Nothobranchius furzeri: one gene and its partner. The protein of the gene in region 1 binds, or shares a complex with, the protein of each later gene. Links are inferred from orthologs where the notes say so. Each region holds a gene or a part of one and is shown on either strand. Other genes may lie near its edges.

The links.
Region 2: gtf2h4 (region 1) and polr2f share a complex: the UniProt entries of both Homo sapiens proteins name them as parts of the TBP-based Pol II pre-initiation complex. The link is inferred for Nothobranchius furzeri from reciprocal best matches to the Homo sapiens genes GTF2H4 and POLR2F.

Annotation. Positions count from the first base shown.
Region 1 is NC_091751.1:25,555,290-25,559,716, reverse strand, and holds the start of gtf2h4 (general transcription factor IIH subunit 4), read right to left. Parts: upstream 3,078-4,427; 5' UTR 2,955-3,077; intron 2,439-2,954; 5' UTR 2,437-2,438; coding exon 2,321-2,436; intron 2,254-2,320; coding exon 2,149-2,253; intron 2,041-2,148; coding exon 1,909-2,040; intron 1,812-1,908; coding exon 1,629-1,811; intron 1-1,628. UniProt on the Homo sapiens protein: Component of the general transcription and DNA repair factor IIH (TFIIH) core complex, which is involved in general and transcription-coupled nucleotide excision repair (NER) of damaged DNA and, when complexed to CAK, in RNA transcription by RNA polymerase II.
Region 2 is NC_091752.1:66,414,043-66,418,129, reverse strand, and holds polr2f (DNA-directed RNA polymerases I, II, and III subunit RPABC2), read left to right. Parts: upstream 1-1,509; 5' UTR 1,510-1,645; coding exon 1,646-1,665; intron 1,666-1,921; coding exon 1,922-1,991; intron 1,992-2,079; coding exon 2,080-2,210; intron 2,211-3,008; coding exon 3,009-3,080; intron 3,081-3,174; coding exon 3,175-3,265; 3' UTR 3,266-3,534; downstream 3,535-4,087. UniProt on the Homo sapiens protein: DNA-dependent RNA polymerase catalyzes the transcription of DNA into RNA using the four ribonucleoside triphosphates as substrates.

The DNA of each region.
Region 1 (4,427 bases):
ATATTTACAAAAGGGCACCATCTAGAGGCAGAAAAATGTATTGCACCGTAAGCCCCTCTCGCTACTTCCATGATTACGGCGGAAGCAACGTCTTTTATTCATGAATGTGCACCGCTAGTCGGCCAACAGAGCTTAAACACGTTGTTTTACAATTATTATTTTCACCTTGTGCTGTTTATTAATTCATCTATTTAACATATTCCCATCTCACCCTCCGCGGGTGGTCTCATCCTTCAAAGCTTGTGTCCTCTACCAGAGGTCTGGGAGCTTCAGTGTTCTGCAGTATCTTAGATTTCCTTTGAACTGCACTTTTGTGGACTTGCTCGTCCTCTACCGCCTTATGGATGTTTCCCACTTTAACCTCGGGGCTTCCAGTCCACACTCTGTACACCAGTGGTTCTCAATCCTGGTCCTGGATGGTCGGTATCCAGGGTGTTGTAGTTTTAACCCTGTTTCAACACACCTGATTTCAATCAGCAGGTGATTTACAAGCACCTGCAGAGTCTGGTGAGCTGCTGCACAGGTGATTCAACCACTGAATCAAGTGTGTTGGAGCAGAGAAACCGCTTACCGGCCCTCCAGGACCAGGATTGAGAACCACTGCTGTACACGATGCCAGCCACTTGGTTGTGGCGTTCCATTTAAGTTTTCCCTGCCAGCATCTTATACCCTGCAGTTATGTGGTGGAACGTCTCAGGAGATACTTCAGTTATACACACACACACACACTTTTAAAGACTTACTTGTCCATAAGAAGTATCGCCAACTATGCACCTATCTAAGTCTGTCCTCAAATGTATGTACACCTGTGATAACATCTGTACATGAGCAGATGTCTAACGCTATTGGCTAATGCTGAACTGGCTCTACGGGACGGGGGTGGGCTTATTGTCTATGTTACATTAAAGGCTAAGACGATGAGATGAGTCCTGAGAGTCTGAGTTGTGACGACATGGTCCTGCTTTTCTGACAAGACCTGACCAAAACATCACAACCTGAAGCTCTTACACTTTCGGGTAGGGATGCAACGATACCACTTTTTTCTAAACCGATACGATACCGATACTTGGATCTGAGTACTCGCAGATACCAATTACCGATACCGACACTTCTACCACACAAAAAAATGCAATGATTTGGAATACAGATTTTATTTTCTTCTCTGCTTTCAACAGGAAAAGACTTTGAGGTAGATAAAAAGTAAAATATATGAATAGAAATCATCCCAAAAATAAAATATTAGGTGGACAGAAATGACAAGTTACAGTGAAGCCATTTTCAAGCAACTGCATTGGTATCGGTTCCTGGTATCGGTTAACTTTTACCGATACAGATAATAGTATCGGTATCTGCACCGATACCGATACCAGTATCGGTGCATCCCTACTTTCGGGGAAAGTTTCATGGTAAAAACAATGATAATATTATTAGAATATTATTATAATAGTAACTATAATTATCCAATAAAAAAACTTTATAAAACAAGCTGATGAGATTCGCTTCCCTCTAAATGAGCTACTCTCAGACTTGCATGCATTAAAAAGATTTAAATAAATGTGAATATTTAAAGCAGATACTTTCTAATCTTTTAAAGTTTTACTTAAACCCATAACTTTAATCTAACCTACCTCTTCATCAGGCCTGCTTGAACCAGCAGCTGAGAGAGGTCCTGGCTGACTGCACATGGTGACCCCACCATGAACTGTAGAATGACCTCCCAGCGCTCCATGGCGTAGCGGTCTAGACTTTCTATGTCCCGTGCATGACGATCTGGACCCAGGGCACTCTGCTCTTCAGCCCATGCGGTGCCACTGTTTGATCAAAACAAGTGGTTCACACAAATGGATCAGACTTTTCTGGAAGAGCAGCTTCAGCTCTGCTGAAGCAGGAAGTCCTCAAGCCACTCACCCCCCCAGCAAAGCAGTCCTCAGGTTGTCTTTGAAAACTGGATTTAAAGTGTAACCCTGCAGGCCACCCTGCAGCTGCTGACTGTGCCAGAGACGGAGACCAGTCAGGACAGACACGCACTCATCATGGTCCCTGCAGAAGACACAGAGCTGGAGGAAATCAGAACCCACCTGTGACTGGGTCCCTGTTCAGGCCCACTACAGAGACGTAGGATCAGGAGACACCAGATGAGCAACTGACCTTTGACCGTCCTTTTTCATCCACAGAGCTACGGCTGCCTGGGGAAGTGGCTGATCCAAGAACAGCATGCGTATCACATAGTTCTGGGCTAGCTTGGGAAGTTCCCTGTAGGAGACCAGACAGCGTAGTGAGGAAGAGAAGAGGAGACAAACCCAGACCTGATCAGGCTCACCTGTAGACCGCCAGACAGGTTGCTGGGTGGTTGAAGAGCCGGTCTAGGACATCAGGACTCAGCTCCTTCATGTACTCATGCAGGTTCTTACACTGGAGTTGGACCCGGAGCTTCATACCTGCAACAGAAACCCACTTGAGTTTGTACTGAAGAGAATGGAGCGAGACTAGAACTCCGCCAAGATAACCGCTCCATGACAGAACGTCTTGGCAGCATCCCATAATCTATAAATCCAAAACAGTGATCCAGGATCAGGTGATGAAGGCAAACACACTCCAGTAGACAGGAGTTCCGGTCTGATTATCATGGACAAACTATCTAGCCTGGTAGCTGAAGGTGTCTGAAGTGGAATGTAAACACAAACACCTTGTGTCTGTCTGGCGTGTTGTCTTCGAGTCCCTGACACGTGACTTTGCTTCGTGGGACAGATGCAACAATGGCGTTTTTTAAACAAACGTTTAGCTTTTACAAATTCACATCAGACTCTTAACTGAATCCGCAAAGAGATTCCCCGTTTCTAACAAACACATCGAGGGATTAGGACCACGATGTACACCGGTCCAGAGAGCCGAATCTGAACGGAACTCTGGAAACTAAATCAGCTGTGAGCTTCCTGTTCGGGAAAGACGTTTACCTTCAGCTAGCTGCGGAACACCGTCAGAATCAGAACTCCAAACAGCACCTCGAACGAGACCGGGATACTGGCGTCAAGTGGACATTTTCTGAGACCACGTGACATAGACGCGCGCGTACCTATTGGTCCAGCTTTTCTTCTACGCTTTTATTTTGGTAGCTAGCGAGCAGATTTTTTTTTAATTAGAGAAGATAACATACAGGTGCTGGCCAGTAAATTAGAATATCATCAAAAGGTTGAAAATATTTCAGTAATTCCATTCAAAACGTGAAACTTGTACATTATATTCATGCAATGCACACAGACCAATGTATTTCCCATGTTCATTACATTTAAATTTGATATTCATAAGTGACAACTAATGAAAACTCCAAATTTGGTATCTCAAAAAATTAGAATATTCTGAAAAGGCTGAATATAGAAGACACCTGCTGCCACTCTAATCAGCTGATTTACTCAAAACACCTGCAAAGGCCTTTAAAAGGTCCCTCAGTCTTGTTTTGAAGGCACCACAATCATGGGGAAGACTTCTGACTTAACAGCTGTCCAAAAGACAATCATTGACACCTTGCACAAGGAGGGCAAGACACAAAAGGTGATTGCTAAAGAAGCTGGCTGTTCGCAGAGCTCTGTGTCCAAGCACATTAACAGACAGGCGAAGGGACGGAAAAAATGTGGTAGAAAAAAGTGTACAAGCTCTAGGGATAACCGCACCCTGCAGAGAATTGTGACGACAAACCCATTCAAAAATGTGGGGGAGATCCACAAAGAGTGGACTGCAGCTGGAGTCAGCGCTTCAAGAACCACCACGAGGAGACTCATGAAAGACATGGGATTCAGGTGTCGCATTCCGTGTGTCAAGCCACTCTTGAACAAGAAACAGCGCAAGAAGCGTCTCGCCTGGGCCAAGGACAAAAAGGACTGGACTGATGCTGAGTGGTCCAAAGTTATGTTTTCTGATGAAAGCAAGTTCTGCATTTCCTTTGGAAATCAAGGACCCAGAGTCTGGAGGAAGAGCGGAGAAGCACAGAATCCACGTTGCATGAGGTCCAGTGTAAAGTTTCCACCGTCAGTGATGGTGTGGGGTGCCATGTCATCTGCCGGTGTTGGCCCACTCTGTTTCCTGAGGTCCAGGGTCAATGCAGCCGTCTACCAGGAAGTTTTAGAGCACTTCATGCTTCCTGCTGCTGACCAACTTTATGGGGATGCAGACTTCACCTTTCAACAGGACTTGGCACCTGCACACAGTGCCAAAACCACCGGCACCTGGTTCAAGGACCATGGTATCCCTGTCCTTGATTGGCCAGCAAACTCGCCTGACCTTAACCCCATAGAAAATCTATGGGGTATTGTGAAGCGGAGGATGCAATACGCTAGACCCAACAATGCAGAGGAGCTGAAGACGACTATCAGAGCAACCTGGGCTCTCATAACACCTGAGCAGTGCCACAGACTGATCGAGTCCATGCCACG
Region 2 (4,087 bases), on another chromosome or scaffold:
GGACACGGTCTCTTCGACTCGCTCCCATCTGGCAGAAGGCTCAGATCCATTCGGACCAGAACCTCTCGCCACAAAAACAGTTTCTTCCCCTCTGCAGTTGGACTTTCCAACGAAAATCCTACGGCAGCCCACTCAAGTCGGTTGGTCCCAGTCACGTGATCCGATGCTGTGCTTGAAAAACAGATTAGTACCTGCACGGGGTAGATCGCTGCTTCTCTAATTCTTGCCACTTTTTACATTAATAATTTTATCATGAGTGTTTTATTACTTCCTATATTTGCGTATCTCTTAAATTTTTCTTTCTATCTTACCTTCTGCACCAAATACCGCAGCAATTTCCTAATGTTGTGACTTGGCACACATATGGCAATAAAACCTTCTGATTCTGATTCTAAAAAGCTGGTCCTTTGTATGTATGTATTTATTTATTTATTTATTTATTTATTTATTTATTTCACTTTGGTGGAAACCGGCCCTGTTAAATGAGGGAAATTGCAGTGTACCACAGTGACCATCAGGTGGCAGCCTTGTGGTGTGTCACCTTTTAAAATAGGCGCGTCATGAATGTTTGGGTGACGTTCTGACAGACACGTTAGCTCTACGTGAGATGATTTATGTTGTTTGTGCAGATAATAAGCTTAAGACCACGTTCGTTAGCCATGACATACAACCAAATAGAGGGCCAAAAGTACATAAAAAATTTATATCATTAATTGAATGTGTCATTAGTTGGTTGAAATATGAAATAATTATGTATATATGATTTTAATGAATGTGCTATAAATAAAAACATTTATTTGATGTAAAAATTACAGATAATCATTAAACTGTACAATTTTAGTAATTATTACATGGCGGAGCTGGCAGTGAAGTCGAAATGGTCCTCTCTCCAGGATCTCAGTCAGGTCCACCGGTAGAACCCCATGGAAATCCCTGGCCAGTAGACATGATGATTCCTCCAACATGTCCTGGATCGAGCTGGGGGCCTCCTACAGGCAAGACATGCCTGGAACACTTCTCCTGGGAAGCGACCGGAAGAATTCTCATTAATTCATCGCTGGATTCAGCCCCAGTCTTCTCTAGTCAATAAACAGGCCTTGGATTTGGAGGAGTCGGTGTGCATTTTAGGATTTAAAACAAAATAATTAAAAATTTTCATCCATGGCCCATTTAACAATTTATGTATGTAATGATTTATTCGTGAAATAATTTGGCATTAATTTGATTAATTGCACATATAAATAATATTTTTTTACGTGTCAAATTCCTTAAATCTTTAGCACTTGATTATAACAATTCATTAAAGAAAGTGAGGAGAGAGAGAGAATGGGGATTATTCAGCCTTTATTTAACCTACAGTTGGTAGAATTTACAGATCAAACTAAATGGAAAATGACTTAACTCCAGAAGGTGGCAGTGTTGCAACGGTAAACCTTGTTGATGCTTCTGAAACATCAAAAAAAAAAAAAAAAAAAAAAAAAGACAGACCGGAAAGGGAACTCTAACGAGGTTCTTTTGGCCGACCGGAATGTTTAGTAGCGTACCAGCCAGTGCAACGTTCATGTGGATTCGTGTTGGTTACAAAAGTGTAGCCTAGAAACGTTAAAATATTTTACACGGATATATACTACTCTAAAAATTTATCATGTCGGACAACGAAGACAAGTAAGTAAAGAAATCGTTTAAATAATCTGCGTCATTTTGTATAATCGACGTAAGCTAACGGGGATGCTAACTCGATTAGCATCACACGGTATTGTTTATTATGATCCTTGCCTATTCTGTGTATTGCTGCTTACGTCCTGTTTTATTCAGTCTCCCATCCAAGTTTACGTACTTTTGTACTTTTTCAATAAAGCTTGTTAAAAGTTATGAATCACCTAAAGTTTAAGATATCTGATCAAAGGTTTTAACTCCGTAGCTTCGATGATGGAGATTTTGATTATGCAGAGGAGGACGAAGGACTAGACGACCTGGAGAACGTCGAAGATGTGAGTTATTACAGAGACGGATCACCACTTGAGACTTTTATGAAGCTGTCTCCTGGTCTGAGCTTGTTTGTTTTGCTCTGGTGAATAGGAGGATCAGGAGAATGTGCAGATCCTACCTGCAGGAGAAGGCCAGCAGGCCAACCAGAAGAGGATCACCACACCGTATATGACGAAATACGAGCGGGCCAGAGTGCTAGGGACCAGAGCCTTGCAGATAGCGTGAGTGTGTTTACATGAGATCACGGTTAAAGCTGAGTGTGTTTGATCTTTAACTCGTTAAACACATTTTCACTGAGAGTAGGTTTCCTCCCTAAACTTAGTATTTAGAGATGTTCAGTGAAATTAGCTGGGCTCATTTCGGGATTTATGTCAGTAAAAGTTTCGTTTTTCCAAAAGACATTTAACCCTCCCATTGTCCTGATGGGTGTGACCCCGCGAGGAAAGTTGACCATTGAGCAGGGATGATGGTTTATCCCTTGGGTCCATGTGGCAGGGGTGAGAAGTGAGCACCACCTCACCCCTGCCATGTAGACATCAAGGGATAAACCATCCATCCTGCTCAGTGGTCAACTTTCCTGGCGGGGTCACCCATGAAGACAGTGGGAGGGTTAAGTAAAAACTTAAATATGCTAAATAGCGCATTAACACCTAGTATCAACAGAAGGTTATTTAGGTAAATCAGTAAAATCAACTCCTGATTCTGTTTTTGTCTTGAGTTTGGGCTCTCTGAATTCCCACCAGCAGAAATTCCTGGAAACAGGCGGCTGCTTGTGTAAATGCCTCATCTGCTTTCAAAATAAAAGCATGCCAAAGCCCATTTTAAAGCTAAAAGTAGCGTTTGAATCTACATGCAGAATTATTTGTATTTAATTTCCAATGCTGGCTGGATGGCTGCAACTAATGAGTCACTTTTTTCCCAGCTTTAGAGAAATTAGCCCACTATAAACCCCATATTCCCATGTTGCATCAGTCTGCCTGAATAAAAGTGTTTTTCCTGTGCTGGCTTGATTCCAACAGGATGTGTGCTCCTGTCATGGTGGAGCTGGAGGGAGAGACTGACCCTCTGCAGATCGCTATGAAAGAACTTAAGTAAGTCACTTTGACAAGCACCAACTTTTGGCTTTGGTTTTATTTAACGAACAACTTTTTACTTCACTCATCTTTTCTTCTCTTTCTCCAAAAGGGGCAGAAAGATCCCCATCATCATCCGCAGGTACCTTCCTGATGGGAGTTACGAGGACTGGGGCTGTGATGAGCTCATCATAACTGATTAAACATCCTAACCAGCATCACACATCATCATCTCTGGACTTTTAGAGACTCACTAACTTTTACAGAGTTGTACGTTTGCCTGCTGGGATCCGTTTATGAATATGTTGTTTTAATTTCTTTTCACCATTTTAACATCTACTTGAGGAGGAGAGACGAGAACCTTTAGTTAAATACTTTTTATGCATCCGTGAGGAGTCTAAACGGCTTGTTTTGTTTTTCGGAAGAGACGGTGTAAATGAATGTTTTATTGTTAATAAAGTCATTTCTAGAAGCTGCTGTGATGGATTTATGTACAAATCTCTGGTTTAAAACAGAAATGTGTTGCTGCGGTTGTTTCATTTAGAAAATTAAATGTCACCCCTTCTTTCCACAGGAGCCGTCAGCAGCGCGTCATAGCTGCTGATAGGAACCGCTGTGGTCAACAGAACCTTTTCCACCGGAGCCGTCAGCAGCGCGAGTCGGCCGCTTCTCAGGAGCAGCATGTCGCGGCCTTTACGCGCCGGTTCTATTTTCTACACGCGACGCCTCTGAAACGGGTCAAGTTCGACATTTTTGGGGAAGGAAAGACAGGAAATCGGACGCGGAAATGGAGAGAAGCTCCCGAGATTTTCAGAATAAAGAACGTACTGCCTTCCGGTTGCTTTACTTTTAAAAAAAGTTACTAACTGTGCGGCCCCGTGAGAAGTTATCACCTAGCTAGCGGTCTCCTTTGTTTTTCAGGTCCGTATTGGCGATTCTAAAATGGACAGAACATAAAACACAAACCTTTTGGAGCCATGTTGTAATTTTCTCCTGCTTGTTGTGTTTACTGACGAAGTCACTCG